Linked DNA regions of Notamacropus eugenii. The protein of the gene in region 2 interacts with the protein of the main gene of each other region in a pairwise test. Links are inferred from orthologs where the notes say so. Each region holds a gene or a part of one and is shown on either strand. Other genes may lie near its edges.

Region 1 (7,983 bases), about 48 Mb from region 2:
AAAGGGAAGTAGAAAGAATCTGTGAGTCAAGACTCTTCTTTCTCCGTCAACCACATCTGTTTACACCCTTCCCTGGATCCTAAACAGGGGAGCGTAGCCAAGGGGTAAAGAAGAGTGTAGAGCACTAGTCCACACCTAACCCATCTCTCCCATCTCTACTGTAGCTCTCCTATGCCCCATCCCACTCCCCCTTTCTCTACCGCCCTTCTTCCCACCTACAATCTCTCTTCTCCAAGCCCCTTATTCCCACACACCAAAATGCTGCCTCATCTGGACTTCAACAGCTGCTTCGCAGTCTCTTGTCCCCCCTCCCCCACCCTACCCATGAATCAGCAGAGGGAACTAAGTCTCATGGCAGTGGTGGAGACACGCTTGGCTGGCCCAGACTTGTTGGGTCATCCCTTCCTTCAAGCTCAAAGAGGGAAAAGACTGATCATTTCAAGAGTGGGGATGGGGTGGGAAGAAGGGTTTGGGGGGTGATACTAACTTCTGCAAAAGAAGGATAGATGTAAGGGCAGGAAACTCTTATATGGGTTCCCTTACCCAGCCCTTGATTAAGAACTTATGGGGGAGGATGTCATTTTCACTGATCCAAGAAGAGGTTGGGTAATATTAGAACACATTTCCAAGATGATGGGAAGCCAGATGGTGCAGTGGATAGAGTGCCCGGCCTGGAGTTGGGAAGACTTGGTTTCAAATGAGGCCTCAGATGCTTAGTAGCTGTGTGACCCTGGACAAGTCACTTAACCCTGTTTGCCTCAGTTTCTTCATCTGTAAAATGTACTGGAGAAGGAAATGGCGAACCACTCTAATACCTTTGCCAAGAAAACCCCAAAAGGGGTCATGAAGTGTTGGACGTGACTAAATACAACTCAACAAATTTCCAAAATGGAAGCTGGAGAGAGGCCAGGCTCTTGGGATCTGGGAAATGTTTCTGATTCAACTCTTTGTCCCTCTTTCTCTACGTTTGCCTGCCTCACCCCCTCCATCAATAATCGATGAGATGAGGAAATAGAAGAAAAAAAAATCAGGGTCACTAAGAGTAACTGCTAAGAGAAAGTGTCAGCATCATTTCCTGACATAAGCCACAGATGAGATAGGTTGGGAGGGGAGAACAGCTTTAGGACAGGTCTTTGAGGTTACCTCCTTCTTACCCTTTACCTCATCTGAGAGACCAAGTTTCCTTGAAATCCAGATATCCCCAAGCTGGGATGGAGGGAGGGGCAGAAACAGGGAGAGACTAAGCCCCCCAAATCTGATGTAGCTAAGTAGGTGGGACATTACAGTAGTGGTGACGGTAAATTCAAACCCTGCTCTGCAACTAAGTCCCAGGTATCCTTCATCCTACTCTTCCCTGGTCACCACAGAAGTCACTTTGACGAGGAGGCTCCTTTCCTCATCCTCCGCCTTCCTTTCTTCCCAGAAAAAATCCAAAGCTTCTGAGGTCCAGCTAGGTCCTCCTCTGCTTTATTTCTTGTTTTCCCCACACTAGCTAGGTGTTCCACCTGTTTCTCTTTCGGCCTCTCGGAATGTAAGGTCTAAAGATGGGCAGACACCAAAGTCTCTAAGGTTTCCAGCCTCTACAAAATTATTTCCTCTATGGGGAGATGAAAGCTTTTACTTGGATAAACTCCTCCTCTCAGGACCTGAGGCCCTGACCCATACAAGCCCAACCTTTGGCTCCTCCTAAAAAAAAAAAAAAAACCACAGGAGAAATACAACTGAGTTTGCAAAAAAAGGAATCAAGCCTAGGGGAGTTGTGTGTGTTGTGCTGTACAGCATGAAGAGAGAAACAACGTTTTAGTAATACCAATTCCCAACCTCCTCTCTCTCTCTGTTCTTGTGCCTGCTTTGGACCGCCTTGTACTCAGGGCTGTAAAATGGCAGAGAGAAGCCAGGAGGGTGAGACACCCAAAAGAAAAAGTTATTAGGGAGCTGTTGAACCCTGAACCAGACTCCCAAAGGCTATTCCTTCTTAAGCTATTTCTAGGGATGTAGGGAGCCACAGAGGGGATGGGGTGAAGGGGGCCCAGTCCTGTGGCTGTGCCAGGCTGCCCAAGGCTTGATTGTGTCCGGCTCTTCACCCCTTCCCTAGGGACTGAGGGGGGGTGGGGACAGACTCCTGCCTGCCTCCTTCCTGGCTCTGGGGACTTTGCCCCAGCAGATAATAGCCCAGGGAAGAGAGCACGTCCAACTGGCACGGGGGGTAGACGGGACCCCCAGGATGCCAGGGTACCCACTTTTTTTGTTATTTTATTTGTTTTCAGTGTTCTAAATCATTCAGGGTGTCCACTTTAAACGGAGGTGGGGGAGACGGGAAATTAACTTCAAAGGGGTCTGGGGGCCATGGGCAGGCTCCCTTTCTTCCAAGGAAGGCAGTCACTGAGGTCACCGCTCACTAGCAGCCCCCCCGCTGGGGGCTGACCCCCCCCCAAAAGAAGCCCCCCTTCCCAATTTCCAAGCATGGAGAGCCCACTAGCCCCCCCCCCCCCACGCTCCCCAAGCAGAGCCCCGCTGGCCGGGGTCCCCCGGGAGACGGCCCTGCTTACCTTAGCGCAACCCTCACTGCCCTGGGCCACAAACTGCGGGGCCGCAACACGCCGACCGACCCGGCCAGATTTGGGGGCCACGCCCACTTCTTTCCTATTGGCTGAGAGCTCGGGGCCGGCCCACCGCCATTGGCTGCCACCACCCCCCCAGCGGGGCGGCAGAACCCGGACTCCCTCCCACCCCCGCTGCCACCCCGCCAACCTCACCCTCCCATTACGAGAGCGTCATGTGATGGCACGATCACGTGGTCCCCGGGCTGCCTGGGGTTCGGTGTGTGAGGGCGGGGGAAAAAGGGAGGGAGGAGAGCGACGGACGCCGATCACCCCAAGCTAGGCGCCAGTCCTGACCGCGGCCTTGTCCCGTGACGCCTCCGACCCCCCCATCCCCACCCCCGCCCCAGCAGTTCCTTTCCTCATCCAGTTAGGCTGGCCCCTTGGAGCTGGGCCCAGGAAAGGGGAGCTCCCAGGTGCATCCGGTCCGGGCCTCCCACCCCGGTCCTTTTACATAGCTGGGAGACTGAGGCCCGGAGAGGTTAGGGGACTTGTCGGGGCGCGCACAGCTAGCTGCTGGAGCCCGGATTCGAACCCAGACACGGTGCTGGTGCTGGGGGAGGGGGAGGGGAGCTCTCCCCGCCAGCCCTGAGCCGGGCGACCCCGGGTGAGCCCCTTGCCCTCCACTTCTCTTCATTTCCTTACCTGTAAAATGAGGAGAACCCTAACATCCGGCTCAGGGTTGTTGGGAGGAGGGAAAAGAGCCCTTCGTGGAGGGCTGGCAAACCTTGGCGGGGCGCACGAGGGCTAGCCGACGGTCGAGGCGTCCGCAGGCCCCTAGCTGAGTCAGCCGAGGGTGGTCCGGCCCACCGGCCCCGGACGGAACCCCCCCCACCCCCGCAGGCCCCCTCAAGGCCATCCTGACCGACGTGCGCCGGGCCCTTTCCAGTCGTGTCTCGAACTCCACGGGGGGTCCTCTGGTCACCGAGGAGGAAACAAGCTGAGCAAGTCCAGTGACTGCTGGGATCGCGCGCTGGGAAACGGGGGAGGCGGGTTCCGAACCAGGGCTTTTCTCTTTCCAGTCACTGTGGACAGAACAGGGGCAATCTAAGGAAGCCAAGGTCCAGGAGCCAGGCCAGGAGGGAAGCCCTGCGAAACTGTGGAGACTTAGGGGTGCTGGCACCCCACATAGTGACGTGCACGTCCTGCCGCAATGAATTTGGCCCAAGCCTTCTTGCAGCCAAAGACAAGGTTTATTAAAACACAGATAGAAGAGGGGCCTGATTCTAAAAATGCGCCATATTGGCCAGATTCTTAAGTAATCCAAGCATTGGCTAGACCCTTAAGGAGTCTGAGCACTTTGCATGGAGACAAGATGGGTCTTTTATACAAAAAGCTGAGAGAACAGAGAAGGAGTCTAGATGTGAAGAAAATAAAGAAGTTAACTGGGAGGGCCTCAGGCGACCACCAGGGACCTGAGCTGCAGGGGAAAGTCCAGGGACTTTTCCTTTTAGGGGTCCAGATCCCAAAGACATGGTCTTTTCTTTTGGGGGGTTCAGATCTTATCCCCATCAGAAGTATGAAGTAAGGAAGACACTTCTGTCATCTCTCTCATCTCCGCTCTCATCCTCATCTGTCATGTAGCTTAGAATGAGAGCCGGGTACCCGAAGAGGATATATTCTGCCCAACAGATACTTGAAGAATCATTTTGGGATGAAAAGCTAAAACTTCTGCTATCTGAGACCCTGAAGGAGCAGAACTGGGGAGGATTCTGCTAGTGCTAGGTCTCCACTGGAGAAAGAGGAGACCATAACTGCCTGGTGAAGAGTAAACAAATCTTAGGGGAATCTAGCAGAGCTATTATTCACCAGAGAAGCTGCGCCATATAAGAAACAAGCCTGTCCTACAAGTAGAGCATCCTGCCTCAAGCTCAGCAGAAAACCACTGGAGGATCTCTTGAGAAATGGCTAGACCCTGGAGTCTTGGACTGGCGTGGCTGTGATTTGCCTTGAAGATGTATTGTTCTCTATATCTGTCATTGACTCCAAATTGGAGCCCACTCATTAAGATCTTCTGTATATTTATGGCAATATGCACCCCCAATTTATGGGGGGAGGTAATGTTTTATAGCTACTACTCTTATTATGCCATCTTAGTAAACAGTAGCATTAGTAAACAGCTAAGTATGTCTACCAGATGTCTGTTAAGGGAAGACATACAGGCTGAAACTTGTGAAGCTTTAGTGTTAGGAGTGGGAACCCCTGAGAGCCCTGGTAGCTGTTGCTCTCTGGGGACCCAATCTAGGAATTCAAGTTGGGGGGGGGGGTGTTATCTTTAGATTTCCTATTCTTGGATTCTTTTTTTCGTGTCCAGAAGTTTGGCTCAGGTCCTTTGTGGAGTTACTTCAGTATGTAGGCCCTCACTCAAGTTTTTCCAAGACTGTCTTCTACATGACCACCTTGCCTCCAGGGTCATTCCCTAGTAGATCAAAATCAGATCAGGTTCACAGCCTGAAGCTGTGTTGGTAGATGAACTTTCCTAAAACGCTAACTTTACCAAGTAATTCCCTAGATTCAGCCTATCTGTCTCTTTTTTAAAAGGTTAATTGACTTACCTAGGGTCACATGGCTATTAAATATCTGAGGTCAGATTTGAACTTAAATCCCCCTGCCTTCAGGGCCAGTGCTCTATCTGCTTCCCTTACCTAGCTGCCCCCATCTAGCCTCCCTCCAAAGTTCCTGCAGGATAAAAGCTCACAGGTGTCAAACCAATGCCTGAACCAAATTAAAGTATAATTGGGAAATATTTAATAAAATAAAACGTGTGTGTACATATATATGTGTGTGTATGTGTGTATGCATATATATGTATATACATATATTTGTATACATGTACACACGCACATACATGCATTCATAGCTAATGTTAATTTGTAGGTTTCTAAGTCAATACGTCACCTTTGGGGAATCTGCTTCTATTTGAGTTTGACTCCACTGTTTAGCTTATCATTCAAGGCCTTTAGCCCTGGGTCTAGCTTTATCTCTCCCTTCCAGCCAACACAACACAACTAGCTCCAGGCAGATTTTGGTGTCTGCCTGACCATAATTCTTTGTTCTGTTTCCTTTCTTTTCCTCTTAGCCTGCCTTTCCTCACTCTACCCTTCATTACACATACTCAGAAGACCTGTATACTTGGTCTTGCTTCCCCCCCCAAAGGCCTTCTGAGACTGCAGCATTGTTTGTACTGTTGATTGTGACAGGGTCTGATCACATTTTCTCCATCTTATCTTCCCACCTCAACTATAAGCTCCTAGAGTTGGAATCCAAGAGCTTTGGATTTAGAATTGGAGAGATCTCTGTACAAAACCCACTTGTTTCTCTGTGAAGCTAAGTCGTTTTATTTCTTAGCCTCAGTTTCTTCATCTGTAAAATGAAGAGGTTGTGATCTGATACTTGTGCTTAGACTCCACTTCCAAGATCACATTCTCCCTAGCTTCAAAACGCTATTCCTGACAGTTTTCTCCTGAGCCCAAGGACACTATGCCCACCAATAACTCATGAGTGTGCCCCAGTAAAACAAACTATCTCTCCCCATCAGAAAACAAGCTGAGCACTGAAGAAATTCTCTTGTAAAAACAGGATTGTTCTGTAACCATAGAATTATCATGTATTGATTCCCAAAGTTATCATATTCAATCCAGATGCCAAGCTGTAGACACCAGCTCTCAAAGCTATCTTGCTACAGAACCTAAAGACCAAAAATACACCCCTGAGAAACCCCTTACCCTGGTTTCCAGTAGTGAATGACGCCAGTGACCAGGGTTGTAAGTTATCACTTAATTAGCATATCTGCCAGATGGTCCACTACTTTTCCTATATAAGTTTTAGCATCATTCCTATTAAGTTGCAAGTTCTTTAAGGAACTCTGCCCACCATAGTGGCGTTACCATAAACCTTGGCCACTTTGAGTCAAGGAATGCTTGAGTCTGTGAATTCTTTCCAGATGACTTGTCCAGTACTTCAGTCCTTCGGGGGTCCCTGAACCCCTTAAACCGCATCAGTTGGGCCAGATTAGCCTTTGTAGTTCCTTCTGACACTAAACAGTGACTCCAAATTCAGGATATTTCAGACCTTAGGTTCAGGTTATGATCCAAACATCCACAGTAATAGAGCCACAATAAAAGCTTTGGCAGGAGGGCAGGAGCTCTGGGTGAGGTGGAGGGCCAACCTAGCAGCCTTTATCTTCTATCCAAGAGGTCAGGGAATGCTTTCTGGCATTGGAGCCAGACTTTGAAAGATGGGGATGATTTGGAAAGGAGGGGAGAGGTATTCAAACAGGGAGAACAGAGGCCTGGGGATAAGAATTCACCTGGCATGTGAGGAGACTAGCTGGACTCCAGGTCTTTTGGGGAGCAGTGGGACTGTTTGGGTACATAGCCAAAAACTAGAAAGAGAACAAAAAGAAAGCCCTGACAGTCCAAAATAGATGTCCCTGGATTTTAGGAGACCACAGAGTCTAGAGGTGTAAGGGCCCTTAGAGATCCAGGCCAACTCCTCTCATTTTCCAGATGAGAACTCTAGCCCAAAGGGAAATGGCTTGTTCAAGGTCATACAGAACTACCAAGTAGCAGAGTCAAGCCTTGAACCCCGGTTCTCAGACACAGGAGCCAGCAAGTACTCTTTGCTTCCAGATTTTCATTAAGAACATCCCATTCTTTTTCTTTAAGTCCCCATATATTTAATATATTCACATACTTATACATTGAATTTATTTTAAGTAAGATAATCTTTTCCCCAACTGACTAGAAACAGCCGTTTAAAAGGAGGCATGCTGAGCAGGAAGAAGGATCCATCCCTTCTATGTCTCCCCTTTCTTCTCCCCTCCAACCTGATCTCGGGTTTCTGGGTCCCTGGCAGGGTTGTCATCACCTTGCCGCAGCCTATCAACCCAGCTGGCATCTTTGCGTCCCCTTCCCCCATCATGTGTCCCCTTCAGTGTTCTACCTTGGCATGGGCATCCCCTGTGAGGACCCTGCTGTAGCCATCCACTCTCCTACTCTTCTTAGTGGCTTCTCCCTGGGAGACTTGCCAGATAGGTCAGGCACCTACTTTGGCTGCTTGGCACCTTGCTCAGAGTCCCAGCAACCAGGCTGATTGTTGTGTCTCTTGGTATAGGGACAGCAACACAGCAACGTTAGGGGCTGGATGGAAATGGGCATGGTGTCTTACCTAGAAAGCATCTTAGCCCTTAAAATCCAATGTTTGATTTACTAAGAGCTTGTTCCTCTTTCTTGCCAAAGCTGGAGGTTTTGTTAGGCAGAAGACTCTGGGCTTTCTCAGGCTTTGCCATTCTGCTCTGGCAAGACCTCAAACAGATCTCTGCAACCCTGGAATGGAATGTTATGGGGTGGGAGGGTAATGGCCTGGGGGGGGGGGCACCTGT
Region 2 (8,077 bases):
TCCCTTTGACAGCCTAACTTCATGTACATTGTTTCAGCAAAAGCCTGATGTCAGCTTTACCTGGATATGGGTTCTATGACAGGTGTTCTCTTCACAGCAACTCAGACTTTTTTAATAGCTGTGTTCTGGATTATTCTATCTTCCTGATATTTTTCCAATCCTTTTATAGTGCAGTGGATTTGGTGTCTGACCCCTCCCCATTCCCCTTTCCTGTTCCCTTCTTTTTTCTCTTTGAGCTGGCTGCCCTTGTAGGTCAGGGGTTCCAGAGTGTTCACACTGCTACAACTCACTCTCTGAGGGTCTTTGTGGACACCCTACGGTACAGGAGCTAGATTTATACTACTTATAAAAGAGACTCAATCCCATGCTGATATACTTCCCACTTAACAAATCAGAGAAAATGAGCTCAATTTACTCAGAAACTTTTGCTAAACAGAAGGCAAAGTGAGGGCACATTCTAAGTTCAATATACATGTATCCGTAGAGGGAGGAGAGTAGACACAAACTTACAGAAAGACAGCAGGGAGGTACATCTCCTCCCTAGGAATGCCTGGGTCTGCAGCAATTTATAACTCTGAACTTAGGGCTTTTAATGCCCTTTATCAAAGGTAATCTGCACAAAAGTTTACTAATGACTAGACTATTTTCTCTTAAGATTTAAAGTTTTTGATGTAGTTATAGAAAAGATTTCCTCCAATAAAATAACAAGTGTGGCTTAAATATATGGATTCACTCTCCTAACTCCCACTCCAACAGGCAGGTTGGGTCCCCAGAAAGCAATGACTTCTTCTCCCTTCAGGACTGTATCAGTAACCCTGAGGGGTTGTGTCTTCTTATAGCACATATGGAAACCAGGCATCAGATTTCTGGTGTTCTTCCAACCACTTAAAGCTCCCTAGGTCATAATCTGTTCTGTTCTGCCTCTGACACTTACTCACCTAAGATAAGGAAATAGACAAAAAAAGACAAATCCCGCCCCCCAAAACCCCAATCCACTGTGCAATAAATTCATGGTCATGTGGTGGCTGGGTGGAGAGGTAGTGTACCTGTTCCTGTGCTACTTTTCCTTAAAGGCTCACAGCATTTCCTCCTTTTCACTGAATGCTGACAGGAAGAGAGAGTTTTGTTCATGAGTCTTTAAAAAAAAAAAAAACCCTGCATATGACCTGGGAAAAAGCACTATCCTCACACATTTCTAGAAACAGGCTCACCAAGTATCCAAGTGGATTGGCATCAGGAAGCATATATTGTACATGCTCAAAGAACTGGGGATTTGTTGGCTACTCCTCCCCCCGCCCCATGTTCGGGTGAAGAGGGGAAAACTCTCATGGGAAGTTTGGGCTCAGTAAAAGTTTTACAGCTTCTGGAAAGTCTTCCAGCGTGGTCTCTTCCTTTTCAACTCAGGGCCCAAGTTGGCCCATTTGGACCATTTGATGTGTGTGTGTGTGTGTGTGTGTGTGTGTGTGTGTGTGTGTGTGTGTGTGTGTTGTTGAAAAAATCTATAGGATGTTCATTCAGATGCATGTTGAAACTCTAGGCAATAGACATTTTCATCCGTTTGGTCTTCCCTATATGGATAGACAGATCAAATTCCTTTGAGTGATTAAAAATCTTTCAGGAGGCTCTGCAATGTTTTGGGGATTGATTAAATCAATAAAATAGCATCTGCAAATAGGAACTTGTGGAGGATTTTACCCTCCTCAGCTTGGACTCCGTGCTAGATCTCTATTACAACAACAAATATTTTTGGACAGCAAGCATCTCTGATGCCTCATCTGATGCCAATTTCCAAAGGGTCCCCAAACAGTAATTTCTGTTGTTACCTCTTCCAAGGGATCCTGAAAGATCTTGATGGATGGATGGGAAACATCTTGTAAAAAGAGCCTGTTTTACTGAACCAAGTACTTTTCATAATCAGCAATAATAATTATAGTTAGAATTTATATGGTGTTTTAAGGTTTGCAAAGTGCTTTACAAATGGATGTAGGTGCTATTATTACCCCCATTTTACAGACGAGGAAGCTGAGGCAGACAGATGTTAGATGGCTTGCCCAGGGTCACATAGTTCATATCTGATTTCAGTTATAGCAGCATGCACACTCACTCTGGAACCCCTGACCTACCAGTATGATGACAGGTTATATGAATGAGCCAGCCCAAAGAGAAAAAAGAAGGGAACAGAAAAGGGGAATGAGGAGGGGTCAGACACCAGGTCAGACACAGACTCCAGCTCCAGTGCTCTGTCTGCTGAGCCACCTCATTATCTCCAACAATGAGCACACTGGGATCTTATATTCTACATATTTCACTCCATTTTGATATTGTTGTCAATTGTGCACATTGTTGAATATTGCTATAGAAAGTCTGCTTATTCCCTATTAGTATCACCCTCAAGGACAACCTCAATTCATGCTACTGATCATCTTAAAATTTAATATATAGTTAGGAGGGAAGCTACATGAGTTAGTTAGTGGTCCCTGACATTTTCTCCATCAACATTTCTTTCTGCACTTTTGGTTAACTTTTCCTCCTGCAGATACTTTGTACATCAATCCCTTAATGTCTTCAGAATTGTATAATCTCCAGAACAGATTTCTATACATACTTGATCAAACCCTGCTGCTTTTCCTATGTTTTGTTTTCTTAGTGCTATTTCTACCTCAGGGACTATGATTTTAGGGTTGAAATACAGTGATTCCACTAGGTTTAGAGGTCTGTTGAAATGACTTTTTGGTAAATCATTTCTAGTTTTTTTTATTTCTAATCTTCTTTTCATTTGCATCCTTGAATGCTATCGGGATGACTTTGTTTAGTTGGCTATCTTGCCACGCTTTCTTTTAACTCCTTTGAGCCTCTCTTGCTTTTCACTGCTTTATGAGAAGGTATTCCTCATAATCATTTATAATTCTTCTTTATAACATTTTTATAGAGTTCATATTCTAGCCTGGTATTGTCTTTGGCAGATATTTCTCTGGCAAATCAAATGAGCATTCGATGAGCAAGGCATTTTTCTGGAGTCCTTCATTCTCTGTGTAGGAATTAATTTACATTGGTTTAACTTCTGGATGAAATTATGGCAATGTTGTCATTTTTTCCCCTGAAGAGCTTATAAGAACCTTTTCTAAGTTGTCTTGCCTTTTGAAATGTAGACACTTTCATTTTTTTACTGTTATTTGGTGCTCATCATATCCTGCACCCACCAATTTTGAGGCAAGAGTTCATCGCAGAGTCTTTGGGCTGGGTCATCTCTAGTTGTCTGAATTGTTATCCGGTCACTGCACCCAGATGGCTCTGGAGAAGAAAGTGAGGCTGGTGACTTTTCTCAGCACTCTCTCACTCAAATCAAAGTAAACTTCAAGTCATGTTATCATCTACCTGATGTCATGGTGCTTTTGGAGAATGAAAGACAAACCACAATTCTCTGGATTTCCTCAATTCTTTCTTTAAAACCATACTTGACCCTATATATCTCACCTTGTCCTGTCTTTGAATTAAAATCAACATTCACTCTGCTACTTGATTAATGTAAAGCTGGAAAAAAGGTGAGAAAGGAGAGATGTACATGGCCCACTGTGGTTCAGAAGAAAGAACTGAAAAAGTCCAAAGACTTGTAGATTTGACAGAAGCCACAAGCTTCTGTATCATGAACTCTTCCTTCAGAATTGTTGTGTGCAGCATATGGAGAGCCCCATAAACATAGTAAAGAATGAAACTGTGCATTTCAGTAGGCAAGAAAGCTTATTATTAAAGTGGGAGCTATTCCTCAGTTAGCTGTCTGTGCACACACTGCTAACTCTTCACCGTCTGATCAGAATTTTTAATAAGCAAACAAAAAAAAATTAACGAGAGATACTGCCTAAGAGCGAAGTCAGCAGAACCAGGAGAACATCATATACAGTAACAGGAAGACTGCATGAGGAGCAGCCATGAAGTACTTAGCTGAGAATGGCAGTACAATGATCTAAGACAATTCCAAATTGTGAAAAATACTCTTCATCTCCAGGGAGAACTGATGAACCGAGTGCAGATTAAAGCAGACTTTTAAAATTTGTTTCTTGGTTTTTGTCGTTGTTAACTTTTTGCAACATGGCTAATATGCAAATGTTTTGTTTGATTTCATACTTAGGATCAGTACCATATTCTTTACCTTCTTAAAGTGATAGAAGGGAGAGAATTTGGAATTCAGTATTTTTTTAAAAAATGAATGCTGAAAATGTTTTAAAATGTAATTGGGAAGTAATTAACAAAAAAAAGTAGCAGTAGTTCACAAGATATAGTTTGAATTATTTTTAAAAATGGGACACATAACATAACTGCCACCGACGTCCCCCTCCCCCAGGTCCTCAGCTTCTCCCTCTGTCCAAGGGGCGGGCTGGACCCTACGACCTCACCGGGCTTCACACTTAGACTGTGAGGCTGGGGAGCAGAGAGGCGGCCCCTCCCCTCCGCGGGCTCCACCCCTAGGACCACGCCCACCGAGGCACCTCCACTACCATTGAGAACAAGCCCGCCCGCCTAGAGAGGCACGCGTGGGGGAGGGCCGAGGAGGACCCGGCGGCTTCCTCGCCATTTTAGGAGGAAACGCGAATCGTCAGCCCTTCCGTTTCAATAACTTTATTGAGCCCACAGGCCGGGCGCAACCACCTCTGCGCACGCGTGCGGCCGCCTTCCCGCCCCACCCCCTCCCGGGAGGAGGGCGCTCCGCTGCCCAGACGAATGGGGCTGCATCTTTGGTGGGGGGTGGCTGTCCCGGGGAACTCTCGGAGAGCAGTGGGAGGAAGGCAGGGGATCCCGGGCTCCTGCTCGCCGTCTTCCCCGAAGAAGGAGGGGGTGGTGCCCTGAGGAGGCCCAAGAACGAGCGGCGGAGGAGGACAAACCCATCCCCCCCCTGCTGGGGACCTCCGAGCCGCCATGGGCAATACCACGAGCGAGCGAGTGCCAGGGGAACGCCACGGCTCCAAGTCCCACCGCGCCGATGGCGCCGGTGGCCAGGCGCACGGCAAAGAGCACCCGCACAAGATTATGGTGGGCAGCACGGACGACCCGAGCGTCTTCAGCGTACCCGACTCCAAGGTGCGCGGCGCTCGCGGCGGAGGGCAGGGTTCCGACCCCGCTCAGCTCCCCTCCCCGGGCGGTGTGCCTGGGAGGCTGCTCAGTTTCTCTAGTCTGCTCAGTTTCTCTAGTCTGGTCAGTTTCTCTAGTCTGCTCAGTTTCTCTAGTCTGGTCAGTTTCTCTAGACTGGTAAGTTTCTAGTCTGGTCAGTTGCAGCAGAACGCCTGGGCGCGCTGCCCTCTCGCGGTGTGCTCGGCCTTGGTGTTTGCCAAGGCTTCTGTGGGAGCCGTTTTCTAGGGTCTGAAGAGTTATCCGTGGTGGAAAATGGACTGACCGGCTAGTGCAGCGGGGCAGATGAGGGAGGCTCAGCCGGCTCTCTTAAGCCAAGCGCGCAGGGACCATCCTGGAATCCCAAAGCAGGCCTTGGCCTCAAGGAGCATCCATTCTAGTGGAAGAGAACGTGCCCTCAGCTATGTATGGACAAGATATAAAAAGTGAAAGGGATGTCTTGCCGGGGGGGGGGGGGGGGGGGGGAAGGCTTTTTTGCAAAAGGTGGGTTTTGACCTGAATCTTAAAGGAAGCCAGGTGGTAGAAAAGACTATTGGACAGCCAGGTCAGAATAATGGGAGTATCTTGTTCGAGGAACAGCAAGGAGCCAGTGTCAGTAGATCAGAGAATGGGTGGAAGGGAGAGAAGTGTAAGAAGACTGGAAAGGTAGGGAGGACTAGGCTGTGGAGGGGTTTAAAAGCCAAACAGGAACACACATGTATTTGTGTGTGTGTGTATATGTGTGTGTGTGTGTGTGTGTGTGTATATACACACACACACATAATATATATTACACACATATACATACATATCCTGGAAGTAATAGGGAGTGTTAATTTTTTTTTTAATTGATCTACTTGTTGGATAGTCTTTTCTTTCAGTGAGAAGAAGAGTACTTTATTTACTAAGTAGAGGAGGGCTTTAGAAAGGTTGCTTTGGCTGCAGATTTAGGGGGAAATAGTAGGGAGAGCAGCCAGCACGTTGTTGAAATAGTCCAGGCATGAGTTGATGAGCCAGGTGGTGATTGTTGAAGGAGAGAAGGTCAAGTACAGGAGTGTTGATGCTAAGGTAGAAACAAGCAGGCTTAGCTCCAGATTGGATGGATGTGTGGGCTGAGTGGAAGTGAAGAGCTAAGTGATTTGGAAGCCTGGGTCACTGACAGGATTGCAAGGGAAAACTATGCATCAATTGGAACTGCCTGTCTAAATCAGGGATTCTTGTTTTTGTGTGTGTCATGAACCTCTTTGCCAAGCAAGTCTATGGATCTCTTGCCTGAATTAATATTTTTAAATAACTGAAGGAAATGCTGAATTTCAGGTAGAGGTTAGTGAAAAGTAAAATGTGATTCTGTTCTCCTCCCCTCATACAAGTTTGTTGATCTTCTGAAAACCAGAGGGTGGAGGAAAAGGGGCTAGGGTCTCCTAGAAGGCCAGATATAAAGGTTACTCTTGGGATCCTTCTACAGTGACTTACTTGACAAGTAGAAGCTCTGAGAGGAATGTTGACTTTTTTATTTGAAAAACACCTGAGGGTTTTACTGAACCACAAATTCAATATGAGAACAGTATTACATAGCCCAAAGAGGGGTGGGGAACATGTGGCCTTCTAGATCCTCAAGTGTAGAACTTTGACTAAACCCAAATTTCACAGAACAAATTCTTTTAATCATTTAATCCTTTAAAGAGATTTGTTTTGTGAAGCTTGGATTCAATCAAAGGTCTGCACTTGAGGATCTAGAGGGCCACATGTGGCCTTGAGGCCACAGGTTCCCCACCTCTGGCCTAGGAAAATAATTCACTCATAATTTGGGGCTGGAGTGGGGGATTGTACATGTTGTATTCAGTTCAAATTCACAGTTTAGGAAGGCCATTGAGGAGACACCGTGGTGTAGTGGAAAGGGCTTATGTAGTTACATTAGACCCGTGTAGACCTGGTTCAAATCCCATCTACTTAAGTATGACCCTGGACAAATAAATCACTTGGTTTCTCTGTGCCTTAATTTCCTTGTCTGTAAAATCTGGGAGTTGGACTTGATAACTCTAAGATCCCTCCTAGCCCTGAATCTTTGATCTTAGGAAGCTGGAGAATGTCCAAAAGGACTGTAGGCATGCCCTGAAGATGATGATTGGTTGAGGACCAGGAGGATGTTTCAGCCTGAAGAAGAGAAAACTTTAATGGAGATGTGATAGCTGCTTTCAGGTATTCTCATGGGCAGTCATGTGAAAAAGTGGATTAGATTAGTTCTTCTTGGCCCCAGGACAATAAACTGGGTATTGCGTGTGGCAATTATAGGGAAGGAGTTGACAAGTCATTGTAAAGAAAAACTATACAACCAGGAGAGCTGTCCATAAATGGATTCCTTGGCTGTAGGAGGAAATGGATTTTCCTTTAATAGATCCTCCAGCAGAGTGTAGATGACCACTTGTCTGCTCAAGTCAACAAGCATTGATTGCTTACTATGGGCCAAGCACTGTGCTAACCCAAAGAGGGTCAGGAGGACATCCTGGAGAGGAACGAAGGAACTATCTCAGATGTTTGTTGCTCAGGGCCTTCTTTTCCTGGGCTTGGGCTGTCTTCCCTCTCCCTCCTAGTAGAACTTTTTGAATAATTAAAGTCAGTGTGATGGGTGGGTTTTGTTTCGTTTTTCTAGGTGAGTCTCCTGATTTGGGGGCTAAAGCACACAAAAGAGAGGTCTCTGCTGTTGGGTCCTGGTCATTTCCAGGTTTTTAGTCTGTGGGACACATTGCTGAAATGGCTTGAATTGGGCCCATGACTCAGAATCCTTGGTTCTTGTAGTTCTGTACCCTGAGGATAAAAGGGGGAAGTAAGCTGAGCTGACAGTGCCCAGAGGCAGCCTGGGCTTGGTGTCAGTGCCAAGCTCAAATTGTGCCCCAGATACAAGCTAGGTGACCTTGGGCAAATCTCTGTGCCTGGGACATGTCAACTCCATGCCCTTTGAGGCCCCTTCTGGCCCTAA

Evidence for each region. The genes of interacting proteins can lie anywhere in the genome.
Region 1: the proteins of PRKAB2 (region 2) and GRN interact in binary tests that used the Homo sapiens proteins (3 or more experiments, as listed by UniProt). The link is inferred for Notamacropus eugenii from reciprocal best matches to the Homo sapiens genes PRKAB2 and GRN.

The regions. Positions count from the first base shown.
Region 1 is NC_092873.1:349,631,007-349,638,989, forward strand, and holds the start of GRN (progranulin), read right to left. Parts: upstream 3,388-7,983; 5' UTR 3,272-3,387; coding exon 3,246-3,271; intron 2,653-3,245; exon of another isoform or gene 2,550-2,652; intron 1-2,549. UniProt on the Homo sapiens protein: Secreted protein that acts as a key regulator of lysosomal function and as a growth factor involved in inflammation, wound healing and cell proliferation. Regulates protein trafficking to lysosomes, and also the activity of lysosomal enzymes.
Region 2 is NC_092873.1:301,712,559-301,720,635, forward strand, and holds the start of PRKAB2 (5'-AMP-activated protein kinase subunit beta-2), read left to right. Parts: upstream 1-4,552; 5' UTR 4,553-4,911; coding exon 4,912-5,073; intron 5,074-8,077. UniProt on the Homo sapiens protein: Non-catalytic subunit of AMP-activated protein kinase (AMPK), an energy sensor protein kinase that plays a key role in regulating cellular energy metabolism.